2 linked regions of the Caenorhabditis elegans genome follow. The protein of the gene in region 1 interacts with the protein of each later gene in a pairwise test. Each region holds a gene or a part of one and is shown on either strand. Other genes may lie near its edges.

What was found.
Region 2: the proteins of C11E4.6 (region 1) and R07G3.8 interact in a two-hybrid assay, tested with the Caenorhabditis elegans proteins (2 studies listed by BioGRID).

Annotation. Positions count from the first base shown.
Region 1 is NC_003284.9:9,599,784-9,616,601, reverse strand, and holds the start of C11E4.6 (ANK_REP_REGION domain-containing protein), read right to left. Parts: upstream 6,040-16,818; 5' UTR 6,027-6,039; coding exon 5,902-6,026; intron 5,855-5,901; coding exon 5,515-5,854; intron 5,325-5,514; coding exon 5,094-5,324; intron 4,579-5,093; coding exon 4,230-4,578; intron 4,115-4,229; coding exon 3,800-4,114; intron 3,752-3,799; coding exon 3,440-3,751; intron 3,392-3,439; coding exon 3,263-3,391; intron 3,025-3,262; coding exon 2,504-3,024; intron 2,082-2,503; coding exon 1,911-2,081; intron 1,841-1,910; coding exon 1,618-1,840; intron 1,513-1,617; coding exon 1,382-1,512; intron 1,258-1,381; coding exon 1,112-1,257; intron 1,057-1,111; coding exon 813-1,056; intron 329-812; coding exon 194-328; intron 151-193; coding exon 10-150; 3' UTR 1-9.
Region 2 is NC_003280.10:7,606,428-7,623,245, forward strand, and holds R07G3.8 (CYRIA/CYRIB Rac1 binding domain-containing protein), read right to left. Parts: upstream 14,087-16,818; 5' UTR 14,086-14,086; coding exon 13,869-14,085; intron 13,821-13,868; coding exon 13,558-13,820; intron 13,513-13,557; coding exon 13,439-13,512; intron 13,389-13,438; coding exon 13,233-13,388; intron 12,875-13,232; coding exon 12,676-12,874; intron 12,183-12,675; coding exon 12,087-12,182; 3' UTR 11,811-12,086; downstream 1-11,810. Other genes in the region: npp-21 (TPR_MLP1_2 domain-containing protein), read left to right, coding at 1-109, 163-298, 344-502, 549-938, 983-1,211, 1,251-1,410; lips-17 (LIPaSe related), read left to right, coding at 1,855-2,036, 2,691-2,790, 2,935-3,012, 3,066-3,155, 3,374-3,461, 3,611-3,837, 4,285-4,362; R07G3.7 (uncharacterized protein), read right to left, coding at 5,145-5,286, 5,334-5,515, 6,019-6,280, 6,435-6,591, 6,640-6,872, 7,130-7,254; Immunoglobulin domain-containing protein oig-4, read left to right, coding at 7,196-7,363, 7,413-7,562, 7,608-7,659, 7,888-7,985; cdc-42 (Cell division control protein 42 homolog), read left to right, coding at 10,030-10,152, 10,206-10,370, 10,421-10,618, 10,964-11,053.

The sequences.
Region 1 (16,818 bases):
ATGCTGGATTTAATTTCTTTGGTTCTCAGTAGTTTGCTGACTGTTATGCCGGCATCGTACCATTGTTCCTTCGATTGGCAGAGACTTGTCCATTCTGCTTCTGAGCTCAAACATCATTCCGATTGTGGTGATGATTTCTGCGGCAATTCCCTAGAAATATGAACTTTTCTAAGGCATTATTTGTGCGAAATACCGAGGTCAGCACACAGAAAGTGTGACAAAAGAAACGATTTTCAGTGTCCCTTGCAACAAAGCAGAAGAAGTTGAGATCCTTTCTATCCTGACATACGACTCTTATTGTATAGACACCATAGCCGTCAAGTAGAGTCTAAAAAATCATTGAGATTAATCGGGGGGCAAGTTTGTCAACGCTTCGGATTTTCTAATCAAATTAATATTGCGGGTGGTCTTTTGTGGCCTACAGCTGATATCCGATTGCGGCGAATTTCCTAGACTAGTCAAAAAACGTCTCAACCTCTAACGTCTGCTGAGAAAATACAATTGATAAAATTGATAAACACAAACAAAATATGAATTCTCGGTTCGAGAAATATGATGTTCTATTTCTAAAATCCAATTTCCGAAATACCATACGATTAAAATATCTTTGTGTTTTTTTCACATCGTATAAGTATATTTCATAAGTAATCAGATTTTATGAAATACTTTCACGTCATAACTTTCCTGCAACGAATGCAGGTGTATCAGTCGTTAAATTATTGTTTCCCGACCCCCTTATTCTTTAACCGCTTCTCAGTTCTGCTGAACTTTTACAATTTGTCAATTCCATTAGGTGATAATTTAATCATTACCTTAAAAGTTTCATCGAAGATAGTGATTCCATTGCAAGTCAAATCCAAAGTAACCCGTGGAATAGTCTCCCAGTCAATTATCGACTCTTTGATTCTTGTCATAGCTGCATGAGCTTCATCAGAGCATTCGGTTTCTCCAATTTCCAGAACACCGAGGTGGTGTGCACGATACACCACGTTGCCCTGCAGCAACTTGTTCTTGATCTTGTCAAAATCGCCTTGTGGGCATTCAGCACAGTTGTTTCTGAAACTTGTTGAATGTTTGTTCTTTTGAAAATTATTTCTCATTAAAAACTTACTGTTTTGACCTTGGCGGCAGAGGAGGAGGTGACATTAATGGCTTAATCTGTAGTCGATTATTGTACTCTTTTCTTTTTTCGTCTTCTGCTTTTTTGAACGAATGGAGCATTCTAGCAATGTGACCAGGACGAGTAACACCGAGTTGCTGAAATTAAAAATATGCAACAATTATCACAGGTCTATGGATATTTTTTGATTAATAAACGCGAAATCAGTGATAAAAAGTATCTTAAAATCACAAAAGTTGTTATTTGAACAAATTTACTCACCATCAATCTTGCCGTGTCCCAGTCAATTTCTGTCAATTTTGCCATATGCTTGTATCCTGCACCGACAAAGTTGGAAATGTAATCTTGAAGTCCGATGAAGTTGAGCCATTCACTAACATAGAAGAAACGTCCTGGAATTGAAAAGTGATTTGAAAAATTGATGAAGGTTTCTTAAAATGTTCCGGCAGAGTAAATGTGTTTTATGAATGTGTTTTATGTTTCAAAAAAAAACCAACCAGCACTAGCAACATCATCCTTCAATTTCTCAATCTCTGACATTATCTTGAACTTGGTGACGTCATCTACTCCGATTTCCGTAAGGATACTTCTATTTATTATCCCTTTTAGTTGATCCATTCTATCATATCCATGAGTTTGAAGAAGTGCTCCAACTGAATCAGCCGCTACTGGGGCTAACATAACATCACTTTCCAACCACTCAATTATTGTTTTTGGTTGCTGAAACATGAACAACCGGTGTAAAACGTGACATGAATGGAAGTTGAAACAAAAATGTAACTAAAAGTACCTTTTTTACAAGAAGCGACTTGTGATCTCTGAACTCATCCTCGACAAGTGTTACGCTCAACGCTTTCGACCCACGATCACGTAAGTAAACTGCCACACGTGGCTCGTATTCACGAACAAAAACACTTTCACGACATGGAGCTGCACCAAACGAATCGAATACACTTTCCACCTGTTATACAAAAAATTAACAAAGTTTCACTGACACTTTTTTCAAATTTGAAATTATAGAATTGACATTTAAATCGTTTTTTGTTGTTTAATGCTGATAATCCAAAAACGCACAAACGTTTAGGCGCTGCCGTTATTTTTTACTGCGTTTTATTCCCGCTACCCAGCTTTGCAAATACACAAAAAAGACTGACCTATTACAGTTTTTCTGGCTCTGTATTTCAAATACACCGTAAGAATTAAGCCCGCACAGCGAGTGCAGGTTTTTATCATTAAAAAAAACTTCTGATCTGTTTTTCTTTACATTAACAATAGCTGACTATTGAGAAACTGTTGAGAAACATAAAATCCGTGTGCTTTTTGCAGATACGCCATTGTTACGAAAAAATAAACAAAAATTGGTTTGTCCCCTGATCGACTTACCCTATCCCAACTAGGTTCTTCACTGGTCGTGTCTGATTTCTGGTCTGATGAGGGGGACGACAAATTATCTGTGGGTGAAAGTGAATTCAGCATAAGGTTCGTTGTTCCATTTTGACGGCGGATTCGGACAGGCTCTTCCGGCTCAGTGAAACTGCTATTCATCTGCACCTTCGACGTTGATTCAGTGCTTCTGTGGCTCAAATTTGACGATGACGAGAATCCAGAGAAGAAATCAACATTTGTAGAGTCAACCAGCCGAGATTTTCCACATAACGCGTCAAAGATGAATGCTTTAGAGGTGTTTGGGGAAGGTGGGCTCTCGGCAGAGTTTGATGATGGTCTCATCACGTCTTCTAAAAAAATTGCAGTCACATTGTTGTCTTTCTCATAATTCCCATTTAGATGTTGATTCGCATTTCCTTGGCTGTAAATGACACTGCCTGTCACTGAACCTGTTATTTCTTCTGGCATTGCCAATGGTGCACGGCCGTTATCACGTTCGCGTTCCCGGAAGAACTTATCTGAAATTGCATTTATTTAGATTGACTTCAGGACTCCATAAGTTTAGGAAATGATTTTTTCCTTGTCATTGACCAAAGTTTTTTTTCAGAGTTAACAAGATACCGAGCATGAGATCAGTGTTGGAAGATTCGTTTTCTCATAATCTACCCGAACTTATCAACTCGTACATCATATGCTAGAAATTTTTTAGGTTGTCGTATGCCCCTAAATCATTCCATTTTTGCTTAAAATGCCTACCTTTGTCAAGTGTCGAGCACGCGTATGTCAAGGATGATGTTATGCTGCTTGCTCTGGTGTCCAGTCTTGGACTTTGCGTCAATCCCAGCGATTCTTCACGATCACACGTAGTTCGGGAAATAGAAAACTCTTAAAAGTCTTTATTTTATATTAATTAGAGTCGTTTCCTATACTTACGGTTCCGATTCAATGACCTATCCATTGTTTTGTCTGGGTCTTGAATAAAGGCGTCATTCAGGTCAGGACGACCATGATCTGGAATTCTTGGAGAGTAGGTGGCAAGTTTTGGAAGTGTTGCGTATCCGGATTGTCTACGGAGTGATGCAGATCTTGCTATTGGTGAGTTGGGGCGGACGAATATTGCAGAGTTGTTCGGAACGTTGTCATATGGTGCTGGCGGACGATTGCTAATGGTCAGTTGACTCTTTTGCCATTCATTGAATTTTGAAGGAGAGTTGTATGCACAATTATCTCCCGGGAGTACAGAAGCTGAAAATAAAGTCAATCCGTAAACTCAGAATATCGATAATAGATTACCTATTTGCTTTTCTGTTGGCCTCGTTCTAACATTTTTCAGCCTCGTTGGCAATGTATCGCTGGATCTTTGACACGAATAATGCTTTGAGTGATAACTAGGCGATGTCAACGGGAACCTTCCAGTTCTTGGAGCTCTGTCTAACATGGAACTGTTCCATGTACGATTGATAGAGTGTGTGGTGTAAGGCCCCTCTGATCGAACACTGTTCAAAGCTTCTGTAGAGTCGTCGGGGGATAAATCTCGCAGTCTTGCAGAAATAGAAGGTGGCTGGTAGATGGAATGATTGTTTCTTCGTTGATCCGGGTATACTTGAACTGAAATCGTGAATAACTTTATTTATCATTCAGATTTTGAACTTTGAGCTTAACTCGATTGATAACCGAAATGTTCCTTACAATGCACATATTATTAGTTTTAAAAATAACCCACCGCTTGCTTGACTTGGAAGTGGTTGCCAAATTGCTTCTCTTTCATTGTCACTTTGACTTCCTTCGGTTTCTCTTCCAGAGTCTCTTCTATCCATTCCTTCGATAATTGTTCTACATTCCTTCCATCCTTCCGGATTTTTTACAAAATGGGCGATTTCATTCCTTCGGTTCTCCTGGAGATCGATGATCATTTGGAGCACTGTTTGTCCGTGTTGATTTTTGATATCAGTGTTCACGCCAATTTCCAGCAGAAACCTGACTGCCTCGGCCTGTCCACAAGCAGAAGCCACATGTAGAGCTGTCCCATCTTCCGTAGTGTAGTTAATGGAGAAACCATGTTCACGAAGAGCCTGAAATTAAACATTTAGTACATTTTTCATTTAAGTGAAACAGTAAATTATTTGATTGGGTTTGTTTAACTAAAAAAATCTACAGAACATATGAGTCTTATAAACCTATGATTAAACTACAAAAATACAAATAATAAATAGTAGTGTTTCAAAATATTTACTACAGAAAATATAGTTTTTTTTGTTGGAAAACCGCAAACACCGTGACGCATAAGTGCACAGTCAAAAAAATATCTGTTGAGTGTTTATATTTCAAACTAAACGTTTTTTGGGATGAGTTATGAAAATGAAATCATAAGCATGTTACTATCGAATCTATTTCGAATTTCAAATTTGTAAACATTGTACAAACTTGCAGATTCATATGAAACACGCCTATCAGAAAATTAACCCCGTTTTTTTGCTATTCTCAAATTGCTACCAACATTCACGCAAGGAGTAAACTATTCTGCATCACCCTTACTCTTATACTCAATTCTTGAATAATGAATAGCAAAGTGGAAAAAGCAACTCACTTGCATGCACTCAACGTGATTATACTTTGCTGCAAGGTGAAATGGGTATATGGCCGGAAAGGGCCGTTTTATGTCCGGTGTTCCAACTCGAAGAGACTCATATGCTGACTGCACAGGAAACTTTGGCCATTTTTGGCACAACATTCTGATGGCTTCAGCAGATCCAATGCGTGATGCAACGTCAATCACATTTTCCTTGTTTTCATTACGAATGAAGGGGTCGGCATTTTTCTGAAATTTAAGGAAATTGAAACGATACGTGATTTTTCAAGCTAACAATTGTTAAATCTGTCAACAATTTAATCTCTATACAAGAATCAAACGTCAAACGCATTGCAAAATTGAATAACTTATTATAGATATGAATGTTGTTCCTGTTCACAGTCGAATAGTTTTAATTCTCAAAGTTATCTTTGCTTACCTTTATCAAATAGAACACAACTTCAAGATGACATCTCTGAACTGCAAGATGAAGTGGAGTTTCATTGAAAATGTTCACTGCATTCAGAATATCTGCGGGCTTTTCCATTGTTTGTAAAAGAAGCATTTTCACAATCTCCAAGTTCCCATTCCAGGCGGCCAAGTGAATTGGTAAAATATTTTTTGTACTTTTACACAGTAAAAGAAGTGGTTCGTAGTCCATAAGGAGTTTACTGATTTGATTTTGATTCTCGAGAACCGCATGATGGAGTAAGGTGAAGTCAGATTTTTCATCTTTGTAGTCGGCGAGCCAATGACTGTCTGATCGCGTTGTGAAAAATCTGAAAAATATCAATAGTTTATTTGAAAATTAGAAAATAAGTATTACTTCAGCCCGCTTCGAATCTTTTTGCCCTTTTTCGAGCTGAGAAACAACGCAACTTTATCATATTCTCCTTTTTTACAAGCATCGATTACTTCGGTTTTTGATATGACAAAGTCTTTGAGGCTCATTTCATCTGAGCTCCTGTAAAATGATCGATTCAGAATTTAATTTAGGACAAAAGAGAAAGCAGATGTTCATGTCAAAAAACAAAAAGAAAAGTAGGAAACAAAAAAGACGGATAGAATATAGGAGAAAGAACAGATTTTGTGAACACATATAGTTTTTTGTCTTAATCTTGTTTACTTTCTCTTTTTGAGATGTAGTTGTATTTTGCTACTCAAGGGGTCCACAAGAAGTAGTAATGCATAAAAAGATAGGAAATGCGAAATATGTAGAAAAAGGGAGTGTTGTAGATGAAAAGCAAGGGGGTCCCCGGGTTTCCTCCCGCGCGAAGAATGCCTCGTAATGTATTGCATTTTACTCGCTTTTCACCAAAATCTCGACAAGAGTGGTGAAAGCAGGGTGATGGGAATAGGAAGGGCGCAATGTGGATGGCCGGTCACTCACAACTCCACAAAACTACACATTCTTTTCTCCTCTTCTTCTTTGCAATTTTTGTCGGTCTAGGAGTGCATTGGATGCAACAACAACAACAAAGAATATAACTACAGCTAATACTACTAATGGTCAATGTAGGAAAAAAAAGTTTAATAGTAGCTTATGGAAAATTGAGTTCGAGTTGTAGTCATCAAGGATATTCTTAGGTGAAAAATTATAGTGAAGATTTTCCTCATATTATCAGCTCTTTGCGAGTTTACATCTAAAATGTACCACTAGAACAAGATACCTTTTATAAACTGCAATGGCTCTCACGAAAAGTTGTCGGATATGTTCTTAAAAAATGATAATTATAGTTTTAACGAATTTCGTGTCAATTCTTCAACAAAAAAACATAGCGTCCAACAATTTAACTGAATTACAAAAAATAAAAATAAAACATGATGGTGACAAAACACTTTTCCAAATTTGCCAGCTGAATTAATATGAATTCCATTTAGAAAATTATTACTTAATAGCTATAGTCAATATGGCAACATTTTTCAAGGTGATTTTAACCGATTTTTCCTAATTTAAATAATTCAGCTGTTTTACATGTTAGAATCCTTAACTTCGCTGAATAAACTTTATATTCATATGTACTATGATCAGTGATGGGTGCACATTACATTTAACTTCTGACTAAGAAAAAATTTTTTGAACAAAAACCAACTCTATGCATCTGAGAAGGTTCTCCTCGAATAATCAGATAAATTCAATTAGAACTAGTGAGCACATGCGGAGGAGGCTGTGCACTTTTCAAAATAGCCTCAAACAACAAAAACATAATAGCACAGGATACACGGTCGATGCTTAAATTGAAGTTAATAATCGTTGACTTAAACATATACGACAAAAAAGATAATGACATGCTGCAAATCGAGAGGAAAAGAAAAAGAGATAAAAGCACTTATGAAGTGCAGTAAAGGGAAGATAAAGGGTGGAAATTGAGAGGAGAAGGTGGAAGGAAGGAAGAATGATAAACCCGTGCTGTTAAGTTGTAATAAGTGTTTCCAACGTGTTGCATATGTAGGTGAATAATAAACACATATCACTTCAAACATCTAAAATTGCGTTGAGGATTTAGTTTCCAATGTGATTTAAAAAAAAAATTGATTATTTCTGCTCACTTTCTACAGAAAAATTGTCCTTATGTTAATCAAAATAAAAATTAGACAAGTAAAAATTGAAAACCACAAATGTATGAAAAATGTTATCAAAAAAACTATAGTGAGGCGGTTCAGATATGCGATTTCGTAGTTTTCCAAATATTTTATATTAAATCCCCAAGTTCGAAGTTTTAAAAACTGAGATTTTTCAAAAAACTTTTGGAACTGTTTCGTTGTTCACACCGCACATTAAAAAATCTTTGGCTTACAATTTCAACCGTACACCATATATTAAATAATATATTTATTTAAAAATATTTTTAACTTAATTAACTCCCACGAAAAGTTTTGGTTATATCATTTGCATTTTTAAAAAAGAGTGTATTAACCAGTTGAAAAGTTGGGTGTTCAAAACAAAGGTATAAATATAGCATTTCAAAGTTCTTTTAGCTCAATCCAGTTATTCCTAAATATTTGAGATGCGAGAAGAATACATTGAAATAATATATCTAATCTATCAAAATAAAAAGTTGACGTGTGATTTTGAACGGGACCGCGGAAACATGGCATGATTGGAAGAGATATGTCAAGAAAAACGCACATCCATCCATCTTTTTTCTTCCCCTTATCACCTAGCGCTTTCACTTCTCCCCCATTTTTTCGCCAATTATCACCTCCGTGCTAAATCAACCTATCTTCTGTTTTGATATCTCTTCTTGTCCTCAATTCATTTGATTAGAAAATGTGGAAGACGAGGAATGAGGTAGGGCAGGTCGTGCAAATAAATCCTAAACTTTTGTTACAGCATGAAGCATCAGATTTTCAATGCATAAACAAGTAGAAACTAGATGTGATATGTATAAAGATAGAGAATGAAATGATGATGGTGTGATGACCCATCACACAAATGTGACACGAATAATAGTATTCATAATGACTATGACGACTTTTTCAGTTCAGTGCATATTTTTCCGCTAACTGGTAATTGGTAGGTGTATGAGAACCGTGTCGATATAGAGAGGTGAAGTATAATGGAAGAACAATAAGATGTCTCTATGGTTACTTTATAGTGAAATTCAAAACAAAAGCCAACTTTTGAGTAACTTGACAAAGGAAATTGTGAATTTGAGATCATTACTTATATATAAAAAAATAGTGTGGGTCTGTCTATAGTTTGTAGTCTATGTAGTCTTTGTAGTCTGTGACGTCACCCCTAAAGTCACTGAGAGTTGTGGGCGGGGCCAGTCACCCTTCGTGGCGAGACCCATCGTTGCGAGACCCTTCGTGGCGAGACCCATCGTGGCGAGACCCATCGTGGCGAGACCCATCGTGGCGAGACCCATACATTTTGGCGGGAATTTAAATTTTCTTTGAAATTTTTCGGCGGGAATTCAAATTTTCTGTGAAAATTTTTGGCGGTAGTTCAAATTTTCTTCAAAATTTTTTGGCGGGAATTCAAATTTTCTTTGAAAATTTTTGGCGTGAATTCAAATTTTCTGAAACATTTTTGGCGGGAATTCAAATTTTCTCTGAAAATTTTTGGCGGGAATTTAAATTTTCTTTAAAATTTTTTGGCGGGAATTCAAAATTTCTCTGAAAATTTTTGGCGTGAATTCAAATTTTCTGAAACATTTTTGGCGGGAATTCAAATTTTCTCTGAAAATTTTTGGCGGGAATTTAAATTTTCTTTAAAATTTTTTGGCGGGAATTCAAAATTTCTCTGAAAATTTTTGGCGTGAATTCAAATTTTCTGAAACATTTTTGGCGGGAATTCAAATTTTCTCTGAAAATTTTTGGCGGGAATTTAAATTTTCTTTAAAATTTTTTGGCGGGAATTCAAATTTTCCGTGAAAAATTTTGGCGGGAATTCAAATTTTCTGAAAAATTTTTGGCGGGAGTTCAAATTTTCTCTGAAAAATTTTGGCGGGAATTTAAATTTCCTTCAAAATTTTTTGGCGGGAATTCAAATTTTCTTTGAAAATTTTTGGCGGGAATTCAAATTTTCTTTAAAATTTTTTGGCGGGAATTCAAATTTTCTGTGAAAAATTTTGGCGGGAATTCAAATTTTCTGAAAAATTTTTGGCGGGAGTTCAAATTTTCTCTGAAACATTTTGGCGGGAATTTAAATTTCCTTCAAAATTTTTTGGCGGGAATTCAAATTTTCTTTGAAAATTTTTGGCGGGAATTCAAATTTTCTCTGAAAATTTTTGGCGGGAATTTAAATTTTCTTTAAAATTTTTTGGCGGGAATTCAAATTTTCCGTGAAAAATTTTGGCGGGAATTCAAATTTTCTGAAAAATTTTTGGCGGGAGTTCAAATTTTCTCTGAAAAATTTTGGCGGGAATTTAAATTTCCTTCAAAATTTTTTGGCGGGAATTCAAATTTTCTTTGAAAATTTTTGGCGGGAATTCAAATTTTCTTTAAAATTTTTTGGCGGGAATTCAAATTTTCTGTGAAAAATTTTGGCGGGAATTCAAATTTTCTGAAAAATTTTTGGCGGGAATTCAAATTTTCTTTAAAATTTTTTGGCGGGAATTCAAATTTTCTGTGAAAAATTTTGGCGGGAATTCAAATTTTCTGAAAAATTTTTGGCGGGAGTTCAAATTTTCTCTGAAACATTTTGGCGGGAATTTAAATTTCCTTCAAAATTTTTTGGCGGGAATTCAAATTTTCTTTGAAAATTTTTGGCGGGAATTCAAATTTTCTCTGAAAATTTTTGGCGGGAATTTAAATTTTCTTTAAAATTTTTTGGCGGGAATTCAAATTTTCCGTGAAAAATTTTGGCGGGAATTCAAATTTTCTGAAAAATTTTTGGCGGGAGTTCAAATTTTCTCTGAAAAATTTTGGCGGGAATTTAAATTTCCTTCAAAATTTTTTGGCGGGAATTCAAATTTTCTTTGAAAATTTTTGGCGGGAATTCAAATTTTCTTTAAAATTTTTTGGCGGGAATTCAAATTTTCTGTGAAAAATTTTGGCGGGAATTCAAATTTTCTGAAAAATTTTTGGCGGGAGTTCAAATTTTCTCTGAAACATTTTGGCGGGAATTTAAATTTCCTTCAAAATTTTTTGGCGGGAATTCAAATTTTCTTTGAAAATTTTTGGCGGGAATTCAAATTTTCTGAAAAATTTTTTGGCGGGAATTCAAATTTTCTTTGAAAATTTTTGGCGTGAATTCAAATTTTCTGAAAAAATTTTGGCGGGAAATTCAAATTTTCAGTGAAAAAATTTTGGCGGGAAATTCAAATTTTCTATGAAAAAAATATCATTACTTATATATAAAAAAATACAGTTCGTCTGTCCATAGTTTGTAGTCTATGTAGTCTTTGTAGTCTGTGACGTCACACCCAAAGTCAGTGAGAGTTGTGGGCGGGGCCTGTCACCTTCGTCGTGAGACCCATCGTGGTGAGACCCTTCGTGGTGAGACCCATCGTGGTGAGACCCATCGTGGTGAGACCCTTCGTGGTGAGACCCATCGTGGTGAGACCCTTCGCGGTGAGACCCACATTTTTGGCGGGAAATTCAAATTTTCAGTGAAAAAAAATTTGGCGGGAAATTCAAATTTTCAGTGAAAAAATTTTGGCGGGAAATTCAAATTTTCAGTGAAAAAACAATTTGGCGGGAAATTCAAATTTTCAGTGAAAAAGATTTTGACGGGAAATTCAAATTTTCTGAGGAAAACATTTGGCGGGAAATTCAAATTTTGGTTCTGGAATCAATTTTTTGTTTCAGCACCTTCTGGAAGTTTCAAGAAAATTCTAGAATGTTCTAGAATCATCTGGAAAATTCAAAAAGTTCTGAAATGCTCTACAACCTCCTATAACTGTAGGAGTTTTTATTTGTTTCGTCACATCTATATTCAAAGAACTTACTATTAGTAGTTAATTATTCAGACTTCTCCAGTTAAGGAAAGTTATTAACTTATTGAAAAAACTGTAACTCTGTGGAATTATTTCGGGGGAGGGGGACAGCTCGCCACGCCAACAGTGAGAAAAATAGTGTGGTGCGCGGACCTCGAATGATGTCGGCGGCTGATATTACCTGGGGTACTGCTTTTTGCCTTTTCCCCGTGAGTGAACGAGAAAAAGGCGGGGACTATTTTGGGGTACACGCAACGCAGTTTTATAATTTTGAGTGTAGAAAAATCAGAACATTCTAACTGTCTCTTTGAATTTTCTGAATCGAATACCATGGAAGAAGAAAATGCGATTTAATCGATGAAGTTTCAACTTTTTTAATGATACATTTTTGAATGATTGAAAGGACATCTATGTGTTATACATTTTAAACTCCGCCAGTCGTTGGCCGCGCCGGAGGCGCGGTCATCGGCTGGTTTATCTATATTGTATTAATTCACAAACAATACCTCCATTTAAACATAATATGAGCTTCAAATAAATCATCTTTAAAAAACTCATTTTCGACAAAACTTCGCCACGAAAGACGGTTGTTTAAGCATTGCTTTCTAACTCAAAACGTGAAGAAAACGCAGTTTTTTTTTTTAATTAGAGAGTGCATTGCAAAATATGCTCCTGTGGATGTTTCAAATGAAATTCCATTATACAAAATTATATTCAAACCACCGTTTAAAAATGAAGTTACGGAGTTTCTCAACATAACCAGGTCTTATAAGCTTACAGTGAAACAATTCAATTTTCATACACTTAAAATTAACGACTTTATCATGGTAAATTTGTATTACAGAAATTGACAAAACATTATTTATTTTAATAAAAATTATATCTATAATGAATTCTACTCTTTCTCACTCACTCACAGAATCCCACTATTCTTCTCTCAAAAACTCAAGAGAAAACTTACCCCCAAAATTGCCACCACCTCTTTACTGATTCGTCTTTTTTGGCATTTCGTGAATCTGCACTTTCTTCTATCTGATTGTTAGGTGTTTTATAGACTGCTTCATTTTCATTTGGAAAAGTACTCAAATCGTTTGAACCAAGTCGAATGCTCTTGATATCTTCAAAAATCGCTGCATCAGGATTACTGAAGTCACAGGACGAATTCAAAAAATCAACAGTAAAGGTACTGCTGTTGGGGTTTTCATCATAATGTGAAAAGGTTCCAAGAAATTCAAGATCAATAGTTGAATCTTCTGTGTTCAGGCTAAGGTCTGAACCACTTGCTTCGTCGTCGACGTGTGCGAGCTCTAAGTAAGTTTCGAACCCTTCTTCAAATATAGTTGGGAGATTTGTATGGTTTGACATATCTACTTGAGAATGATTTGAGATAGCTCAAATCTTAAAGTGTTTCAATGGGCGGAGCTCTGGAACACCTCCCCAACTTTTAAAGGTGGCGCCATTCAAAAAAGGAGGAGTTGAACCACCTCAAAAAGGTGAAGGTTGGGGAGACCCAACCACAAAACAGGTGGTCGTTGCTGATATGTTTTGATTTCGGTTTAAAAAAAAGCATACGATATGTTGCGTAAGAAGCCTGGGAACCAAGGAATCGTGGTCGTTGGTAGAGGAGTGAAAGATCTAGAGAAAAATTGGGTTGCCAGCTTCTGCTTATGGAATAGTTTTGAAGACACAGATTGTTTTAAGATCTGATTTTATTCATATGGCAGGTACTCAGACTGATATTGTCGAACAAGTAAACCAAGCTAAGGAAGCTAGTTTTATATAAACATGAGTCTATTGAGTCGGAACAACCTAGCACGTTCACTCTGCATACTCCCAAATAGCGGATATTTCGTGATTTAAACGGGGCTTTAAGATTACCAGACCATTAAAGATTTTTTGGAGTCTCGAAAAGATTTAATGCAATAGATTTTCATTGCTTAAAAATTCGAATATCACCCATCTAAAAGTGCATTCGAATTTCAAACAACCCGTCGTTGGGATGCGAAGAGAGCATGAAATCAGACAAAACTGACTCACAGCGTGTCTCCTTTTGACGACAAACTTGAAGAACGCCGACGATGATGTTGGTTGCCGCTATCGTTTTCTTATTCATTTTTTGTTTTGAATTTGGATTTTCAAATCTATCGAGATATCGAGATGGAAAAGGATAGAAAACTGATAAAATGGACAGAAAATCATGTTTTCGGAGAATTGTACAAGGAAGAAGATGGAACAAAAATGAAACTCGTGCTTCAACAAAGCAATTTTGTTTTATTTGCCTAGTCAATTACATGTTGCTATCTATTTTGCCAAAGACTTGGATGATAAGAAAGCGAGAAAGTTTGTGGGTGTTAGGAACGTGTCTCCATTTGGTCTGTTGACCAATGCGATATTTTGAGTTATAACGACAAGAATTGTGGTGTAAAATATTTATAGGCGGTCAGTAGCAATCTAGTATTTTATTGGGAGACATGAATAAATTTTTGCCTTTTTTGTGGAAACAAAATATTACTGTACACAATGATGAAAAAAGGTTAAAGCGAAATGAAGCGGTTTTACAAAGCTACTTTATTGAAGAAGATAGTTTAATAATGTGAATAAGTGTGAAACCTAAAACTGACATTTACTATGAGAAGTTCATTATTTTATTTGCTATGCTTTGATATTTAGAAAGTTTGTTCGAAGCTTGTTTTGTGATTCTTTTTTCATAATTCTAACCCAAAAAGAAAATTGTTATTATATTCACAGAAGTCTGGAGATTTCAAAAACTGAAAGCAAGTATCATTTTCCTGTTGAAAAAAATAAACTGTTATGATTTCTAAAGTTCAAAGGCTTTGTCCAAATTATGAACCAATTTGTAATGAGCATTTAAGTATGAGAAACATGAGAGTATGTGAAAATCGTCCAGCGCTCACGAAAAACATGCAAATGTTGACATTCCAAAACTCTACCATTCCCAAGGCCTGTGCATACACACAAACACACGCACTTGTGTGCATCTTTCCTCCGGCACTCCCGACAAAGGATGGAAGCGATTGAGATGCGCGGCGCCGACAGAAAGACACGGAAACACATTTTTGGGTTGAAAACTGCCTTGAAATTTGATATCCTTTCCTTGTTGCTACTGCCGAGCCGTTTCGATTTTGTAACTAACCACTTTGGTCAAGACCTTACTCTTAGGTCGCGTACTAAAATACCGTATGCGCAATAATAAACTCGGTAAGATTATTTTTAATTGCTTCCTATGCAAATAATATGCTTAAAAACTGTTTCAAAGCCATAACATTGAATTTCCCTTTTTTTTCGACTGGCTTTTAGAAATGTTAGGAATAAGTAACATTTTCTTTTTTTTTCGCCAAAAAAAATCTGTTTTTGGCTGTAACAATCCCAAGAAATAATAATAGGCATTATTAGAAAACATGAAAGAATATGAAAACAAGAGAAAAAGTGTAGAAAGTGCAATTAGGAAGCGAAAAGGGTGCAATTTATTCACTAGCAATGATGGATTATAGGAGGATGACAGTGAACATCTGCTCGTGACGGAACCAAACAACTTACTGTCTCGGTTTTTGTAATATGCCTGTCAGTAGATTTAGCATGGTTTTAAATTCACAAATAGTGTGAATCAAAATAAAAAGAAGAAAATACGGAATTAGTAGATTTTCCCGAGAATTTCAAAAAAGAAAAACCTTCAAACCAAACAAAACTTGTCAAATAATTGGCTTTGTTCGTTTCTCACTTTTTTGCCTACGGGCAACTGTTTAGTGCCAACATGTACGTCACAAAAAAACAAATTGAAATTTGATGGATCAGACCGTAAACTGACTGGTTTCAAAGAGTCGGAAAGTAAAACCACATGTGTATATACATGTGTAAGGATTGGGAGCTCTGGGAGCTATGTATTCAAGGAGTGATGAATGGACGAGAATTGTGAACAATAAATCAACTTGGTCTTCATATAGGGTCATCCAGTGTTTTTTGGAATTTCAAACGGAACATGAAAATGTATATTATGAAACTATATATGGTTTCAAGAAATTAAGCATAAAGGTTTGATAATACATACGTTTTTATGCCTTATTTGTGACACTTAAGTTGTTAAAATTTTATTTCAATAAGTGATTGTACTCAGTTTCAAAACTAAAATCTATTGTAGGCTGTAAAGTTAAAAAAAAAATTTGATATCATTTTAAAAGGATTAAAACAAAAATTGAATTTTTTTGTAATATTTGTTGTAATGTCCAACTTTTCAACCAAATTATGACTAGCACTAGAACATTTTCAAACGAGTTACCATTTAGTATTTGAAAAACAAATTGAATAGCAAAATTAGGACTCGTTGAATATTTATTAAAAAAACCATGATGAACCAATCTACTAGAAAAACTTTGAATGAAACAAATGAAGTATGTATCAGAATAAGAAAAGCAAATAAGAGAACTTCATGAATTTTTAAGAAGAGGGTTGATCAGAAGATGGCAAAAAAGAGATAGAAGAAAAGCAGAGAAGACAGCTGTTTTCTTTTTCTTTGCATTAGTAAGAACTGACAATTGTTGCCGGATAAGTGACACGTCTGGACGTAATTATCAAACAATGTTCCTTCCGATTGGAAAAAAGTAAGTTGAAAGTAGTAATACCCATTTGTTGTTTTTACTTTCTTAGTTTTTGTGCTCCATCTTTCCTGTTCTACACAAAACTTGACTTGAACGTCCCACGGGGCACGACAGTTATGGACATGTGTGGAAAAGAGACGTTGCGACAACGAAAAGTCATAAAAAATGGGCTTTTAAGAAAAAGGACCAAAGACGTCTTGGAAAGGAGCATGAAAGAAGTAGTGAAGAAGCAAAAAGATGTGCGGTAATCCTGACAGAATGATGGAATACAAAGATGCAGAAAGGAAAAGCACACGGGGCATGAATAATACAAGGTTAAATATTGTTTAGAGCAAATATGTAGTAGACCATAAACTTTCATCGAAATAATAATAAATTTTCTGTTAGAAGTTGTTCACAAATTATATAAAGTGGAGCTACAGTTTTTTAGGTGGTGCTGTTAGAAAATTGTTTCCGAACATCAACTCCAATGTTTTGTTTTAAGTTTCAATCAAAATGTTTTTAAAAAAAACTAAATTATATTTCATTTTTGAAAATCTATACACTGTAATATTCTAGAAATTAATTATTAAGTTTGAATTCAATAACGAAAATCGTGTGTTAATTTAAAAAGTGTTAATTTAAAATACGCATTGATACCTACTCTCCAAGATTCTGACCAAAAAAGTGAAAAGAGAAACGGTCAATATACGGAATAACTGTTGTGATGAATCATAAGAAAGGCTAGGCAAGAAACGAAGTGAA
Region 2 (16,818 bases), on another chromosome or scaffold:
AAGTATTGATTCAGCTCCAAGTACACCAGGAGGTAATTCTTCTATGGTTACCACAACTTCTTCCATGGCCCCAGGGCAATCAATTTTCGGAAACATCGGGAATGTACCGGTCAGTGTTAGTAAAGTTTTTCCTGAAGCATCCGTTTAATGAAATTTTTATAGGTCCCGACTACAGCACCAACTGACAATCTTGCTCTTCCAGAAGAAAGTGTAATTGAAGGATCTGCAGGTCAGAGCAGTTTGGTTAGTGGAAGCATCGATCAACGGAAGGTTCAAGATATTGATCTCGTAGCTAATGGTACTGTTAATAGTCAGTTTATGTTTTATATCTTGTTTTTTAAAGATGGTGAATCACGTGATAGCACAAATGTTGGAGGTGTATCCAGCTCTGATGTTCGTCGCAAAAGAACTGCAAATGATTTCGAGTTGAGTGAAGCCAAGCGCTTGAGAGAAAGTCCAAATGAAACAGTCACAAGTAGTGAGACTCGACAACAAAGCAACGGCAAGAATTATCTATAGTTTTAACATGCAATAATTTTATTTTTCAGTTGCCGATATTCCAGAGCTAGATGACGATGATGGTGTTCTTGGTATGGAGCATGAAGTCAGTGATGAAGATCCGAATGATAATACAATTCAAGAACAACGGCCGGATGTTATTGATCTGGAAAATGATGAAGAAGTTCTTGAAGATGAAATGGACGAAGAGGAGGATGATGATAGCTTCGGAAATGACGAAGAATTTGAGGATGAAGAAGAAATTCCTGAAGATGACGACGACGATGATGTTGTTGTCCTATCCGATGGAGATGATGAACCAGCAAATGATAATGATGAAGAGAGTCTCAATGATATTGATGACGACGATGGTATTGAGGAGATCGAGATGGTTGAAGAATCAAACAACCGTGATATTGAAGAAGTTCTCGGAGGAGAAGGTTTTAAATTTAATCTACGTCTTCTTCCTAATTTTAGTTTACAGACTCGCAACCATCACTTGATGATCAAGATCGTGAGGCAGCTTCTGCTGTTGAAGAGGCTGAAGACGAAGGGCGTGATCCATTAGGAACTATTGACGAGCCGAGTGCACCCGCTGATCCTACTGGTGCCGCTGGTATTGGTAGCTCTGGAAGAATGGGCCAAGACGTGCAGAGAGTTCGGCTTCCAACGGGGCTTCGTGACGCCGAAAGAGAGGATCAATGTTCGAGCAGGTAAAACTATGCGTGATTCTATGTCATAATCGAAATAAGATTTTTCAGTAATGAAACAAACGATGAGCGACCAGCTGAACGTTTAACTGCTCGCAATCTCGCTCGTATGCAACGTCCAACCCGTGGAGCTAAACCAACTCGTGGAGTTTATACGCCTGCTCGTGGCAATCGAGGAGGTCGTGGAGGTGGAACCGCTTAAACAAACCATTCAATGCAACATGAATTGTTTCCATTTTTATTTATCATTCATACGTTCCCCAGTTGTTCTCTATTTATTTTTGATCCCGTAAGATTAACACCTCGTATTGGATTGCAGTTTCTACTGTGGTTTTTCAATACTTCGATGGTGGGTTTTAAATGAAACTGTAAATGCAACTGTGTTGTCTAGTTAACAGCTATATGTGTTCAATTTCTTTTGAACATAACAAAGAAAAACCTGCGTCGAGTGAAATCGAACTTGGGTGTGGGATGAACTGTTGTCTCGATCTCTTTGGCAAATTGTTGTGAAAGGGAAACAACAAAACCACTCGAAGTTACCGCAAAGATTGTAATACAAGAACGGGCAATCGAGAAGTTTGTAATAGTTGGTTAAAAAGAAGACCGAGACCTTTTTTCATCTCATTTCAACAATCAGAAGGTGAAGATGCATCTTATATTTCTCTGTTTTCTTTGCTTTTCCTCGGTTTCTTCAGATTTCTCACCTAGTTTCAATAAGTTTTTAATTGATAACTATGGTAAAGGAATCAATGATTTATTGGCAAGAAGAGATATTGGACCACATGGAAGTTATGGTGGTGGTACACATGATGGAAGTAAAAGAACCAGGTAACCTAGTTTTAGAGAGGAATTTAAGTTTGTGTACTCGCTGTTTATTTGGAGTTTCAATTACAAAAGATATATATAAAAAGTTAGAAAAGGATCCTGTTATTACTCAAACGCGAAGATTTGCGATTTTTCCGCCAAAACTACAGTACCCGGACGGGTTTGCGCCTTTAAAGGTTACTGTAATTTCAAACTTTCATTGCTCTGGAATTTTTATCGAATTCTTTTATAGTTTTCCGTAAAATATTTTTTACCATGAAAAACCATAAAAATCACATAATTAATAAGAAATCGGTTTAAAAAAACCATGAAAAATCTATGAAAATTCCACAAGAATGAAAATTGGAAATTACAGTACTTTTTAAAGGCCGTTTGCATTTAACAAAAATTGTAGTGTCGAGACCGGGTATCGTATTTAAATCTTCTGAACCTTTTTTTCAAGTTTCAAGAATATTGTGGCTCCAGTCTGGTTCTGCAAAGTCCCTTTTATATTGTTTTTTATTCCTACAGAACTTCGAGATTGTTTAATTTAAGTACCAATTCTCTCATTTTTCTTTGTGGTTCATAAAGTTAAGACAAACGAAATCATGACATCATCGTAATTTTATTGATCACTATAGTGGTCATATTAAACTAAATTAATTTCTCTAATTTCAGTAAACAAGCTGTTATTCTCGTGCATGGAATCACAAATACTGCAGGTACTTTCCAAGGGCATAGACATCATCTTCTGAATGCGGGATGGAGTGAAGAATTGGTCAGTTATACAGTTTCCCATTACAGGAGATTTTATTAGTGTAACACCATATCTATACGTTCATTGTTCGAGAAACGCGTTTATGAAAAACTGAAACGATTGGCTTAAAGTTGACGTCTTTTTTCTAATGATATCAATTTTCATGTGTTTGCAACGACTTACGGTGATGGTGGAAAGACAATGGCACCAATGGTGGATATGAAGTGTCAGTATGTGAAACAGGTTTATAAGCTTCAAATTACTCAAATGTCTATACTATATACACATGGTTATAGGTGAGATACATGATTCAAGTGGTTGCTGCGTTTACACATAGGAAGGTCGATGTAATTGGTTATTCATTGGGATCACCAATTGCAAGAAAGGTGAGAAATGAATACAATATTGAAAATCTACTTTATTACTGCTAGAACTTGAAATAAAATTATCAGTTACAATAGAAAACATTAAAGGTTTAAAGGTGCATGCAGAACTTTGAAAAGTTGGCTCACCTCCTCTTTGACATTTTTCTTAGATAAATTGTTTTGGGGGTTTTACTGTTTAGCATGGTCCAACATTTAATATAATTTACAAATTTCTTTAGGCAATTCTCGGAGGAGCTTGTGTGGAAACAGGAGAGAATCTCGGACCACCATTGACTGCATTAATTGACACATATGTATCTGTTGCTGGTAAGTTAAATTTTGAAATTTTTTTTCGTAGGAACCCGAAAATGTAATTTATATGTTTAATTTAATTTATTTATTTTATCTGATCCAAAAAAAACATTTACAACTGCCCAGAGCTTTCTTATCATTTTCTTCTCGAATTATCAATTCAGGAGCCAATCGTGGATCATTCCTTTGTGCTCTTCCATTTCCTGGAGCATGTAACATGAATAATGGACTATCATGTATGTCTGCATATATTAAGGATATCAATTCTCGTCCAAGATATGAAGGAAAATACATTTTTTCAATTTACGGACCAGGAGACGATAAAGTTGGATACCGTAATACTTGTGGACAGTTATGCTCACAGATTGCTGGAGCAAACGGCGAATTTGAAGTAAGATATTTCTTCAAGGCTTCAAAAGTGCCTTCTTATTACCCAGACACAAAATTTTGCGATTTTTGCGCCAAAACTACGGTACCCGGTCTTAGCACGATTTTTTTTGGAAAAATGCAAAAGGGTCTGCGCCTTTAATGAGTGCTGTAATTTCAACCCTCGTTGATGTGCAGTATTCACAATTGTTTCGAAGTTTTTCGTTTAAATAATATTTATTAATTAAAAACAATCAAACCCACATAAATTTTAACAATTCGTTTGCAAAGTTACGAAAAGTCGATAAAATTCCACAGAGACGAAAGTTAGAAGTTACAGTATCCCTTAAAGGCGCAGACTTGTTTGTTTCTGACGAAAATTGTCGAGACCGGATACCGTATTTTTGTGGAAAAATCACAAAATAACGCTTCTGGGAATACAATATTTAATAATAAATAATCAAATTTTCAGAGACCAGGAAACCATGACGATGTATTGATCAAAACTGCTGCTTTACAATTTAAATTAATTGATACACATGCTGGATGATAAAAAAATAATTCTTAAAAACGAAATCTCTGTACATTTGTTCAATTTATTAAATCAATTTATTAAATGTGTATCAATTTATTAAATACACATTCAAATTCGAAAATTATCTGTTTCTAAAATAAATGTTGCATACCAATATTATTTTAATATCAATCGAAATCTTTCCATGTTCTAGATTTTCTGAAAAAAGTTTAATAAAAAAGATTTATTGAAGTGCATAAAACAAGTAAATTTGTAGAACATAACCGAGATCGAGCCAGTCGATGGATAAAATTGAGCGGCTCTAATTTTCAAAAACTAAAATCATGAAGGCAAATGGAAAGAAGGCGGGAAATGAGAAAGTCCTCGGGAAATCGAATCACAACGTTTGAAATTGTATGCTAGATGAACATGGAATACTGTCAGAAAATATTGAAGATTATATCTTGATAAAATTTCTGACTGGTACTCATTGAAAAAATTTCGGTCTAGATACAATAAAAAATTATACATTTAAAAAATGTTATGGGTAATGGCTTTGTGAATGAGCATAAGAATTACTGACAGTTGAACTACAAGAACTTGAATTTAAAGTTCAGGTAGTTCTGTTGTGAGATCAAAGTATGGCTTTTGTCGCTTCTAGCGGTGGCAGTCCTCAATAGGAGAAAGTGGATAGAAGATGAATGAGGAACATGGTGTAGGAAGAAGCGATTGAATAAAAATCAATATAAAACATGAAACTAAATTACAGGAAGAATGATTTGGATAAAGGAACTGACGGATAAAATAAAGAGTCGTAGCTATGACTCTACTGGTTCCTTAGAACCACGAGAATTTCGAGAATACCGTTCTTTTGCTGGATCAGGGAATACATACTGACATGCATTAAATGAAGGAGGCATTCCATAACCAAATGCTGTTGGACAATCAATTGCAGATTCTCTGAAAAGAAATTAATATTCAAAAATCCAATAATCTTAATGACTTACTTGTCTTCATTAGTTGTAGACGATGCACATTTAACCATATGTGCATAAAGATCTCCTGTTGACGCAAAGTTGACGGCTTTACACAGTGTACATTGAATATGACTGATATCTCTCTTGATTGGCTTGTGATGCTGTACACTGTGTTTGTATCTTTTATCGAACATGTGAGTTCTATCGTGTCTCTGTAAAATATTATTTTTTAGCCTTTATTATATTATCTCAATTATTGTTGCGAAAAATACGGTACCCGGTCTCGACACGATAAGTTTTGTAAAAAAATTAAACACGCGTGCGCCTTTAAGAAGTACAGTAATCTCAAATAAAAATTTGATTTTTCAGCACTTTCGGCGATTTTTCATATTTTTTCTTATGTGCAGTTTTTTTTTTTAATTTCAAATTGTACTTTTTTAGTTTTTCTTATAAATAATTATATATTATTCGCAAAAAACATATAAAATTCAATATTTTTTTTCCTAAATTACAGTACCCTTCTCCAGGGCTGTAGATATTCTTTTTCGATTTTTCTTCGTGGACTGGCGAAGCCGTATTTTTTTATAATGTTTTTTAAAACAAAAAATTCTGATATACTGAAAAATTCATAAATTTTCAAATTTTACTTTTTTTGGTAATATGACGAATTTCTACTTTCTTTAAAATTTAAAATTCTCACACAAAAAATACTCACCTGTACATAATAATATTCCGGAAGTGCTCTGTTGCATTTCCCATCGTTATAATCTTCATTGAGGTGTAGCTGAAACTGATTGTAGCTGTCAAAAGATCCTTTACAATTGAAACAGAACACTCCAGCATCATTGTGACCGAGACATTCAGAAGATTTCAAAGTCACTTTTGGACGAGGTGGCTGACTTGATGGAACTAAAACATCTTTAATCGGATAATGTGGAGTATCATCTTCAAATTCTTGTTCTTGAGCGTCGTAAAATCTGCAAAAATCTTGAATTACTTTTCTGTTGAAAAAAGAAAGGGAAGACTCTTGAAAAAGAAAAGACAACGAATACGGAGGTGCTAATCGAGTTGAGAGTCACTCTTCTCTCTTTTCTCATCGTCTTCACCACTTCAGTTCAATTTCAAACTCACTCTTGGTCTGGCTCAGAGTCTAGTAATTGATCTATTCCAGGATCTTCTTCTATTTCAACTTTTTTCGGTGCAACTTTATTGGGTCTTAATGTTTGTTCTAACACAGCCATAGCGTTGAATCTCCATTGCTTTTCCGAATTTGTAGCCAGTTTTATTTCTGAAATTACTTTTATAAGGATTATTGAGAATAATAAATTATTCGTACCATTCGTAACGTCATAATCTGCAAATTTTCTCGATTCTTCCTTCCTCGCAGCTTTTCTTTTTTCTTCCTTGTCACAAACATGTTCTTTAATGTGCAATAGCGTACGAGAAGCAAGTCTACAGTGATCACAGAAAAATGGAAGAACTCTTGGTTTCAGCTGCTTCTTGTATTTTCGAACTAGATTCACTGCAATTCGATGGGAAGGGCTTCCACTGTTCCATCGTTTTGGACGGCTGAAAAATAAATATTTTAGAACATCCCCGAATAACAAAGATTCAAGCATGACATACATCGAATAAAACACATTACTCCTCTCTTTTCTTCGTTTCTCTTTGCTCTGTCGAAATATTACACTGGTGTGAGAGCAAGAACACATGCTATCGAAGTCCAGAGACTTCCGATCAATACTTTTTTACTGATATTTTTTAAATAACTAATTGGATTTAAATGTTCTTCGATTTATAATTCTTTTAGAGTTTTTTCAACTCACCTTAACAAAATTCCACGAAGTGACGGGTGCAGAAGATAGGCTGCACCAACTGGTAAATCGCGAATCATGAGCTTCCGATTATGGGGTCGATGCATTTTTTTCTTCTGCTTCTTGCTGGAAGCCATCGATTCTAGAGGAGGTCGTCGAGGCGGAAAAGGAAAGGGAAAGAGTAATCTGCAATTTGCACAAGTTGCAGAATTTTCGTTGGTTCAAACGGTTTTGTCAGATAATAGAGCGAGTTTCAGAAATAAAAAAAATGATACAAAATTTGAAAGTCTTTCAGAGTGCTCAAATCATAACTGGCTCTCACTTCAGTCAAACATATCGGCTTGGATACAAACTACTTATCATTTGCAAAGCTCGTGGAGATCCTAGACCGACAATTAAATGGTATAAGGAAGGTGCTGAAATTCAACCAAAAGCTAGCATTCACGTGAGTCATGTACAGTAATCCGTGGGTTAACTGCTTTACTTGCAGTATTACGAAAAGCCAATCGAAAATGATACAATTTGGAGTAAATTAGAAGTTGGTAAGTGAAAATTGTTGTCAATCAAGAATATCTTTAGAACCCTTGCGAAAAATGATACAATATGATAAGAAACTTTTTTGTCACTGTCAGCAAATTTTGGAATTTCGCTCATTTCTCTACAATTTTTTTGCCATATTCAGCGCTTTTTAAAGTTTTTCTTCTTAACTGTGAGCGAATGGCAAACTACAATAACGACAGCTAAATATACGACAGTTGTCATATTTTCAGATCCGGCAACAATGGGCGATCAGGGTGTCTATGCATGTGTGGCTAATAACCCGCACGGAGTAATGGCAAAGAATTTTAAAGCAGAATATACGTATTGAATAAAGATTTTTCACAAATCAAATAATTTTCTCTCACCTAATCTATATCATATAAACTTGCGAAGGAATGCGTTTGAAACCTCCTCCTTCTGTTGCGTGCAGGCGCACGAGCGACAAAACAAACAGTGTTTGGGAGTGAGAGAAGCGGGATGAACAGGTGTGCGGTGGCGGTAAATTCGAGTGAAGGCGGGAATGTGTTCAGAATGAATACAGAAAAAGAGCTGATGACGTTGTAAACGAAATTCATGAACGAAAAGCAGGCACATCTCGCGCGGAAAAGGGAGGAGACGCGGCAGGGAACCGGATTGGGGGACTATTGATCGAACAATAAGGAAGAAGAGAAGTACGCGCCGTCGGTTATCGAAACTCCAAATTTTTCTTCTTTTAATTGGGAAAAGTATTACGAACATGTAATTTCATGGAATTCACACGGTTTACAATGAAGTTATCAAGAGAAAATATGCAATTCTAAAAATTTAGGGCAGATTGAATCGTCGATTGGATTGAAGTGAAAGAAGAGAAATAGAAATTTCGCGAGTGAGATTCAATCGGAGCATTGTTAGAATTCTATCTAGAAATGTAAGACAAAAAATACGAAATAGCATATTGAAATATAAAACCTTAAAATTAAAAAGAAGGCAATTTTAAAATTAATTTTACGAAATACAATTGAGAAAAAATGGAAAACACAACGGATTCAATCGAAGTTAATATTCTAGAGATGGTATTTATAAATTGAGGACAAATATTCTGCACTAGGAGAAACAAGAAAAAAGAAAGAAGTTTCTGGCTGGCAATCGTTCGCACAGGAAAAATAAAAAACTAAAATGGCCGCCCGTCTGTTAGCATGGAACGGGTTACGCTAGTTATAGACTAAGCTTACATACAAAATATGTATGTATAATATCCTCACAGCGTAACAAAGTGAGATATAGTTTAAATTCTAGATGATGACTTTAGAAATCCTATTTGGTGGTTTTACGAAGTTTACAGCGTCATTTCTAGACTGAAACTGACCAGTCTGGGATATCATTTGTCTAATCAAGTACTCTATCTAGATAACTGACCGATCTAATAAGTTTTCACGAGTTACGGGACCTAAATTTGAATCCAATAATTCGGTGACGACTGGCGACCCTATGTTAGATGTAGTGATGTCTCCATTCTCTCAATACTCTCTCGTCTTTTTCTCTGCGTATCTCACCACTAGCGTAGTCTATGAGTGCGAGCGGCCGCGTCGCGGTCGTCTTTAGGCTCGCCGACAAACTGTCCACCATCTTCTTTTTTTCCTTTTTTCGCCGTGTTCAACAAAGCTCATTCACGCTTTTCGTTGTTTTACAGGCTTTTATTGTTTTTTCTAATTATTGATTATTCATTTATAAGAGCAGAATTAATCAATAAACGTAGGTAGACGATCGAAGTATCCTATCAGTTTTTAATTTGATAAATTTTCTCGAAAGGAGCAATCATGTTTTAAATTATTTAAAAAATGGTCCGCTTAAGTTTGTCTGACTGTTTAACAATTATTGAAATCATTTTCGTGACATTTTATTGAACATTGCTTCCAAATTCCCCTAACATAATCCTGACTGAGATGTTCCAGTGTTTCATGTCGAATTATTCCTATTTTTGTACCTTTTCTTAAATATAACTAGTTTCAAATATATGCAAGTTGTTTGGTACGGAAAACCGATTCAAACTTCCGACCAGTTACCGATGAATCATTGCCAAAATTCCTCATCTAAAGAATTATACGCACAAGTTGTTTTGGCCATTTTGCCTTATTTCTTCATCGTTTATTAAGGCGTTTACCGTTTTTTTTTCTTGCTCTTTCTTCGATAATTATTGCTCCCAATGGTAAAGAAACGCTCGTGGCATTTCGAAAGAGACTATTGATTTTCTGCCTGATGTTTCGCAATTCGTTTTCATTCTCTAGTTATCTCTCCTTTTAAAACGTGTGCGTGCACATTTATGTGACTCATCCGTATTTTTCACTATAAAGACGTAATTTTAATACTTTTATTCATTTTTTTTTTCAGGCGAAATGCAGACGATCAAGTGCGTCGTCGTTGGAGATGGAGCTGTCGGTAAAACTTGTCTCCTGATCAGCTATACCACAAACAAGTTTCCTTCTGAGTATGTGCCGACAGTCTTCGACAATTACGCCGTAAGTTTAAGAAAAAAAAATTATTTTATATAAAAATAATTTCCGAATTTCAGGTCACAGTAATGATCGGTGGCGAGCCATACACATTAGGATTGTTTGATACTGCTGGACAGGAAGATTACGATCGATTAAGGCCTCTATCGTATCCACAGACCGACGTGTTTCTTGTTTGCTTCTCCGTGGTTGCTCCAGCTTCATTCGAGAATGTCCGAGAAAAAGTAAGAAATATTGTTCTCGAATTTATTCTATATATCTGAAATTGTTTTAGTGGGTGCCTGAAATTTCGCATCATTGCTCAAAGACCCCATTCTTGTTAGTTGGTACTCAAGTCGATCTCAGGGATGATCCAGGAATGCTCGAGAAACTGGCAAAAAACAAGCAGAAACCAGTGTCAACGGATGTTGGAGAGAAGTTGGCAAAGGAATTGAAAGCAGTGAAATACGTTGAATGCTCAGCGTTGACGCAGGTGAGTCATTCTTTCCAAAATAGTCATTGATAATATTGAAACATTAAAATAAAATATCATCCAATCCACGAAACCTAATCAAATAATAAATTTTTAAATATTAAAACGAGGCTCTTGTGGAAATACGTGACACTTTAAAATATAAATATCACTTTTCAGTTAAATTGTTGCTTTATATTTAGCAACGGTCATGTTTTCGGGAAAAACGAACAACCAGAATTCTGTTTTTATTGTGCAAAAAATTATCTCCTGAAATGCTCTATATTCCGGCTGAAAATACCATAGTTTTCATATTATGTTGATTAAAAACGCTTGTATATTGAAGTTTAAATAGTTTATTTTCAGAAGGGACTGAAAAATGTATTCGACGAAGCCATTCTGGCCGCTCTCGACCCACCACAACAGGAGAAGAAGAAGAAGTGCAATATTCTCTAGGAACGTCTTCCTTGTCTCCATGTTTTCCTCTGTTTTGTGACTGTGTTTTTCTTTCTATGTCCAAATTTTCTTAGCCCCCGACTTCCACTCTTCTCATACTTCTAAATTTCCCTGAAAAATGCCAAACGAGAAGCGGTTGCTGTTATTTTTGACAGCATCATAGAAGATGATTTTCTTCAATTCGTCTCCTGTAACTTATCCAGTAGAATCTCGATGAGCATGATTCCAGAATTTTTTAATTGTTTCGTATAGAATTTCGATAAGCAGGGCAGTTTATAGTTTCTCATCTGTTTTCGAATTTTTATCGAATAATCCCCTCGAAAATTTTTAAAAGTTCATCCAAATTAACTATCATTCTTTTCAATGACACCTCCTCTTTAACATTTTCGTCGTCGTTTTTATTTTCTTTTTTATCCCAAAACGTGTTTATAGTCCGGATACACCGTTACGTAATGCGCCTTCTCCTTTCCCATGGTTCTTTTTATAATTATATAATAGGTGTTGTATAGCACAACCAACTACATCCCGAGTCGCTTGTTTCTTCATTTGCTGCTCAAAAATACCGACCAGTTTGTTTTTCTTCTTTCCTTTTTTTTGTGCTTTTCTGCCTTCACACATCCATTTCCCATTTTAAACTGTTTTCTCATCCACTACGTTTTGTGTCTCCCTCCTCCTTTCTCCAGAACAACTCTGTATTTTAATTTTTCTACATATTGTTGTTATATATTTGCGATCCAAAACAATAAAGGTGTGATATAAAAAATTAAGATGTTTATAAAAGATCTTGAAAAGTATACAAGTGGGTGTTGTAGAAAAAGAAGAACCGGAACCATAAGGCATTGAGAAAAATAATTAATGAGTGGGTGAATTGGAACGAAAAATAATTATTATCACTGACAAAAAGTACTGTTTGACGAGGAGAGGAACATAATCACCGTGTATGAGGAAATGGGCTTCAACTAGAAACGATAAGAGAACATAAAATAGAGGCAAGGATGACTAGAATTAATGAACAAATTGACAAAAAATGAAATTATTTCACTTCAATCAAATGACGAAGAGATTTTGGAGTACTTGAATCATTATAATGTTTTGTTGTGAAACGAAGACCAGCAAGTAGACAATCAGACTGAAAATAAAACAATTAATATGGGTTGCTCAATTTTATTCTAATTTTTATTATGGAAGCGCAGAAAAATGCTCATTTTGAAAGCGCGTTTGCAATCGCGCTTTACGGACAAACTGTTGGGTCTCGTTAGGTATTCGCAGAAAACTAGAAATTCGAACATGTTCAAACATTTTTCGTCTGCTTTAAATGCTTTCCGCTATTCTTTTAAATTAATTTCAGTCCGAAATTGATGAATTAAAATTTATAAACGAAAAAAAAATTCGATTTTCATTGTCACATGCATTTTTAAAATAATAATTTTGAAACAAAAATCATTAAAAACAACTTCAAATTGTATGAATTAATGCTGTCAATTCCTAACGAGACTCATAGTTTGGCGTTGGAGCGAGCTTGCCCCTTCATTTCATTTTTCTGCGTCCCCATAATGTTTGGAAAACGATATAAGCAATTTTCGCTCTACTACACGAAAACTCTAAATATGAAAAACGCTTACCTGTTCAGGAGTGGTATTTAGTTTGATCAACCTGACAACATCTCTCATATCAATTGATGAGTTTGACACGAATGCACCATTTTGATCTACGTGATCGAATAATATTACAAGGCCAGTCATCACTCGACAGCAAAGATGTTTCGATGAATCTGTCAGTCGTGCCAGACATTCGTCATTTGCTAACATGAATCGGCAAACGCTGAAAATTTTAATACAATTTTATTTTACCGTAACTCATCATATCGTAACTCATGACTGATCAGTGAAAAAAGTAGTTGAAAATCACTATTAAAGTGCAAAAATGACCAAGAACTTTCCAAAAAAAGTTAATGTTTCATTTGCAGTGAAAAAGAAGATCAATTCATAATTTTGGAAGTATTTTTGAAAGATTTGTCAGATTTCCAAAACGTTGACTGAAACTTTTCATAACACTAAAAATTATTTAATCACGATATTTAAAAGATTTCCATTTTCTTGCTTGTGTTCCATAAATTGCGGATGGAGTTTACGATATATTCCAAAAGTATGTTTTTCAGTTTAATTTATAGAAAACTCACTTGATAATTGTTACAAAAACATCAGTTGTATTGTTAATTGGCAAGCTTTGATGTGTCTGCATGTACGAATCTACACCATTACAAAGTGCTTTTAACATTGGATTTCCTTCACAAAGAAACATTTGAACTTGTGGTAATTCGGGAACTCCTTGGTCTCTACAAATTTAAAATTATATTAGATTGTTTCAAATAAATTAAATACTTACTCAAAATCCTGATAAACAATATGTTTTGCTCGTCGGTAATAACTGTAATCATTTGTTATCTGGGCGGTTCTCATCTGAAATTAAATTTTTTTCTTTAATTGGAAAAGTGGAATTCATACTTTTACGACATCAAAGTCCAATACAAATCCAATTAATCGTGCAAACTGTTTGGCAATTGATTGTTTATTTGCAAGTTGTTCTTCGAGAGGTAATGGGCCAGATGATAATTCCCATAGAATTATTGGTACGATTTTTTCAATTTTTGCAACATGTTCATAGTAGGAACATGTTCTGGCAACAAATGGTTCAAGCTTTGTCATTAAAACTTTTAAAGCTTGAGTATCACTGTCATTTTTTAATTGATTTCTTTCTGCATAGCAACCTGAAAATTGATGTTACAAGTCTACTAAAAAATAAAAATCTAACGTACCATTTCCATAACTTGATACATCAGCAAGTACTAAATCACAATCATTTAATACTTCTTCAGCCATATTATATATTTCCCTTTCTTCATCTGTTGGTTGTGCATTTTCAAAATCCACAAAAATCTCGACCCATTTTGAATTATCATCTGCTGTTGATCGTATAATTGATCGTATCATCTCAAGACAAGATGCATCAGATTCTCGAATATTCGACGGCATTCTGCGAATCATTAAGCTGAGTATTGAATAGTATTTTAGAAGTGAAAGTTGGAAAATAAAAAGAAAATAAGCGTATAATTACACGATGATCACATGAAGATTATAAGATGCCGGAGAAAAGTAGTTGAAATGGGGGAAAATGGAAAACAAAAAAACTGGGAATCTTGAAAACAAGTACCATCTGGAGTTGAAAGGGAATGAAATCAAAGTGTTCGAAGGAGAATCTTAAAAATGGCAGCTGGACGATAGCCGGACAAAAAAGCTGGGGAAAGATGCACCTGGTACAAATTGCAGCTGTTTCAGAAATTGCTGCGAGTAAAGTAAAAAGGTCAGTGCTCTTGGTGCACTTTAAATCTAATTTTAAAAAAATTGTCTTGGTACATATATAATTATCCAAAATGACAAAAATGAATTTTTAGATTTTTGAATAATAATGAATTTAGGTTAATTTTCGAAAACTTGGACTTTCTGACAATGAGAAGTTTAAAACAGTACTGCAACACCTGGGATGTTGGAACAAATATAATTTAAATATAACAAAATATGAACTCGTATCTACGAAAATTAAAACAAAAAATATAACTTTGGCATTTGGACATTTTAGCACCATAAGACGGTAATATTTGTCGCGTCTAAAATTTAAAAGATTTCAAAACTTATAGTCAGATACCATGGCTACACTATCAATTGTGAAAAACCAAAAACTGTCTGTCAGCTAGATAAGTATTTTGAATGAGAACCGAAATTGTGTGGGTGTGAAGCAAAGAAGAAAAAAGGTAACCGAACAGATTGGACTTGTAAAATGCAAACATATTGGGTGGCCGGTGTTTGAATTGTGTACATATATATCGGCAGCAGTGCGCGGGAATGCATTTCCTAGTGGATGTTGTCCGCAAAAATGAAATGGAAGAAAAATAGAAGAAGCCATTGGAAAGAAGACTATAAGAAGTGCACAGCTCGTTGTGCGCCGAAACAAAATGGCTCATGGATACAAAATGCGTGAAGAGCAGGAAATTGGTGCTGTTGGCTCACTATTGCTTTTACTTGTTTTATAAAAATGACCAAAAGAGAGTGAGAGGGAGCCTTGAGACAATGCTTGGGTCATTTTGAAATGAAAGGAAATTAGGGGAAAATGGGTGAAAATGGTGGACGCACGATGCGGTCATAAACGGGCCGGCGACGTGAGGAAAAGTGAAAAGTTGTTTATGGATGAAGACGTCGTCCTTACGGAAATTGAAGAGAGAGAGAGACTCTTTGGAAGTGTCACACGGAAAAGAATGAATTGGAATAGAACACGAGAAAAGACATGATTAGAGAGAAAGAAAGAAGAAGAGATACTTACCAAGTTGTGACCTTGGACAAATGGATTTTAACAAAAACAATATTTACGGATTCTGAAAAATTTTCAATTTTGGGTACAATTTTCAGGAAAATTTATACTTTTGATGTAAAAGACAAGCAGAAATTCTTCCAAAAAGGAGCTTTGAATATTCCGATCGTTTTTTTTAATCAAAAAACAATTATTTCAAAACTTTTCAGAAAAAAATAGATATGCAAATATTTTTATTATCAGCAATTGTAGAATTTGAACCCTTGATTACAAAATTTCCTAGAAAAAAGTATTTGTTTCAAACGGAGTAAGTGATACGAATAAATTGCAGCAGGTATCTAGAAAACCTGCGACTGGAAATGTTTTTTTTTCCAATCATAAATTGTTTATGGAACGAGAAAACGGGACAACCTTGTGATATAGATTTTTCGTAAAAATTGAAAAATATATATGTGCAGCAAAAAAAAATAAATGAAATTTAATCTGAAGGCGTGATGCTTCCGATATATTCAACGGCACCCGTTTTTTCTTTGCTTTGGTTTTTTTGTGACTACTCCAGAAAAGCGATAAGATCTAAGAAAAAAGAATAAAAGAATAGGTGAAAAGGAGAAATAGGTTGTTGACAAAGTGTCAAAACGTTCCGAAATGAGAGACATGAGAAATAGGTAGCACAAATCAAAAAAAAATAAAAGTAAAAAAAAAACAGAGCGGCTTTGGGGTGGTGACACAAATTGGAGCAAATAGAAAATTTGAAAAAAAAACGGCCGAGGAAAGGAAAAAAGAGAGAATGAGCCCAATGACAACAAGCAATTGGATTGTTATTCTGAAGACTAAACAGAAATTGAATCATGCATTATTCATTTAACTCTCTTTTATTTTTTCTAAAATTTTCATTTTTTGTTCTTTAACATTAGTGCGGAATTTTTATAGAAAAAGTTAAAGATTTAGCAAATCAACTGCTCAATTTTTGTAGAATCCATTTTGAAAAAAGTAACTCGGAGTATGGAAATAAATTAGCTACCAAAATAAATATTGATACCAAAACTTGAGAACAAAAAGCTCTAATTTTAGAACACTTCGAGCAAAACACAAAACCCATAAAACTCAGTGAGCATTCCAATGATTAATGAAAACTATGTATAGCTCTAGGACTGAGCCAAAAGTGGAAACAAAAGCAAATAAAAATCGAATTATGTCCTGTGCCAGATGGTGTCGATTTACAAGCTGTAGAGTGAGAGGGTACTCTGGAAGGAAAGGGAAATCCAACTGAATTGGCAACACTTATCTGGAGGAGTAAGAGGAGGAAAAGCTGAAGATGAGCGAAACGACTTGAAAATTTGATATCAATGGGGAACATATGTCGACGAGATGTGAAGGATTAGAGAGATTTGAGAGAGAGAAAC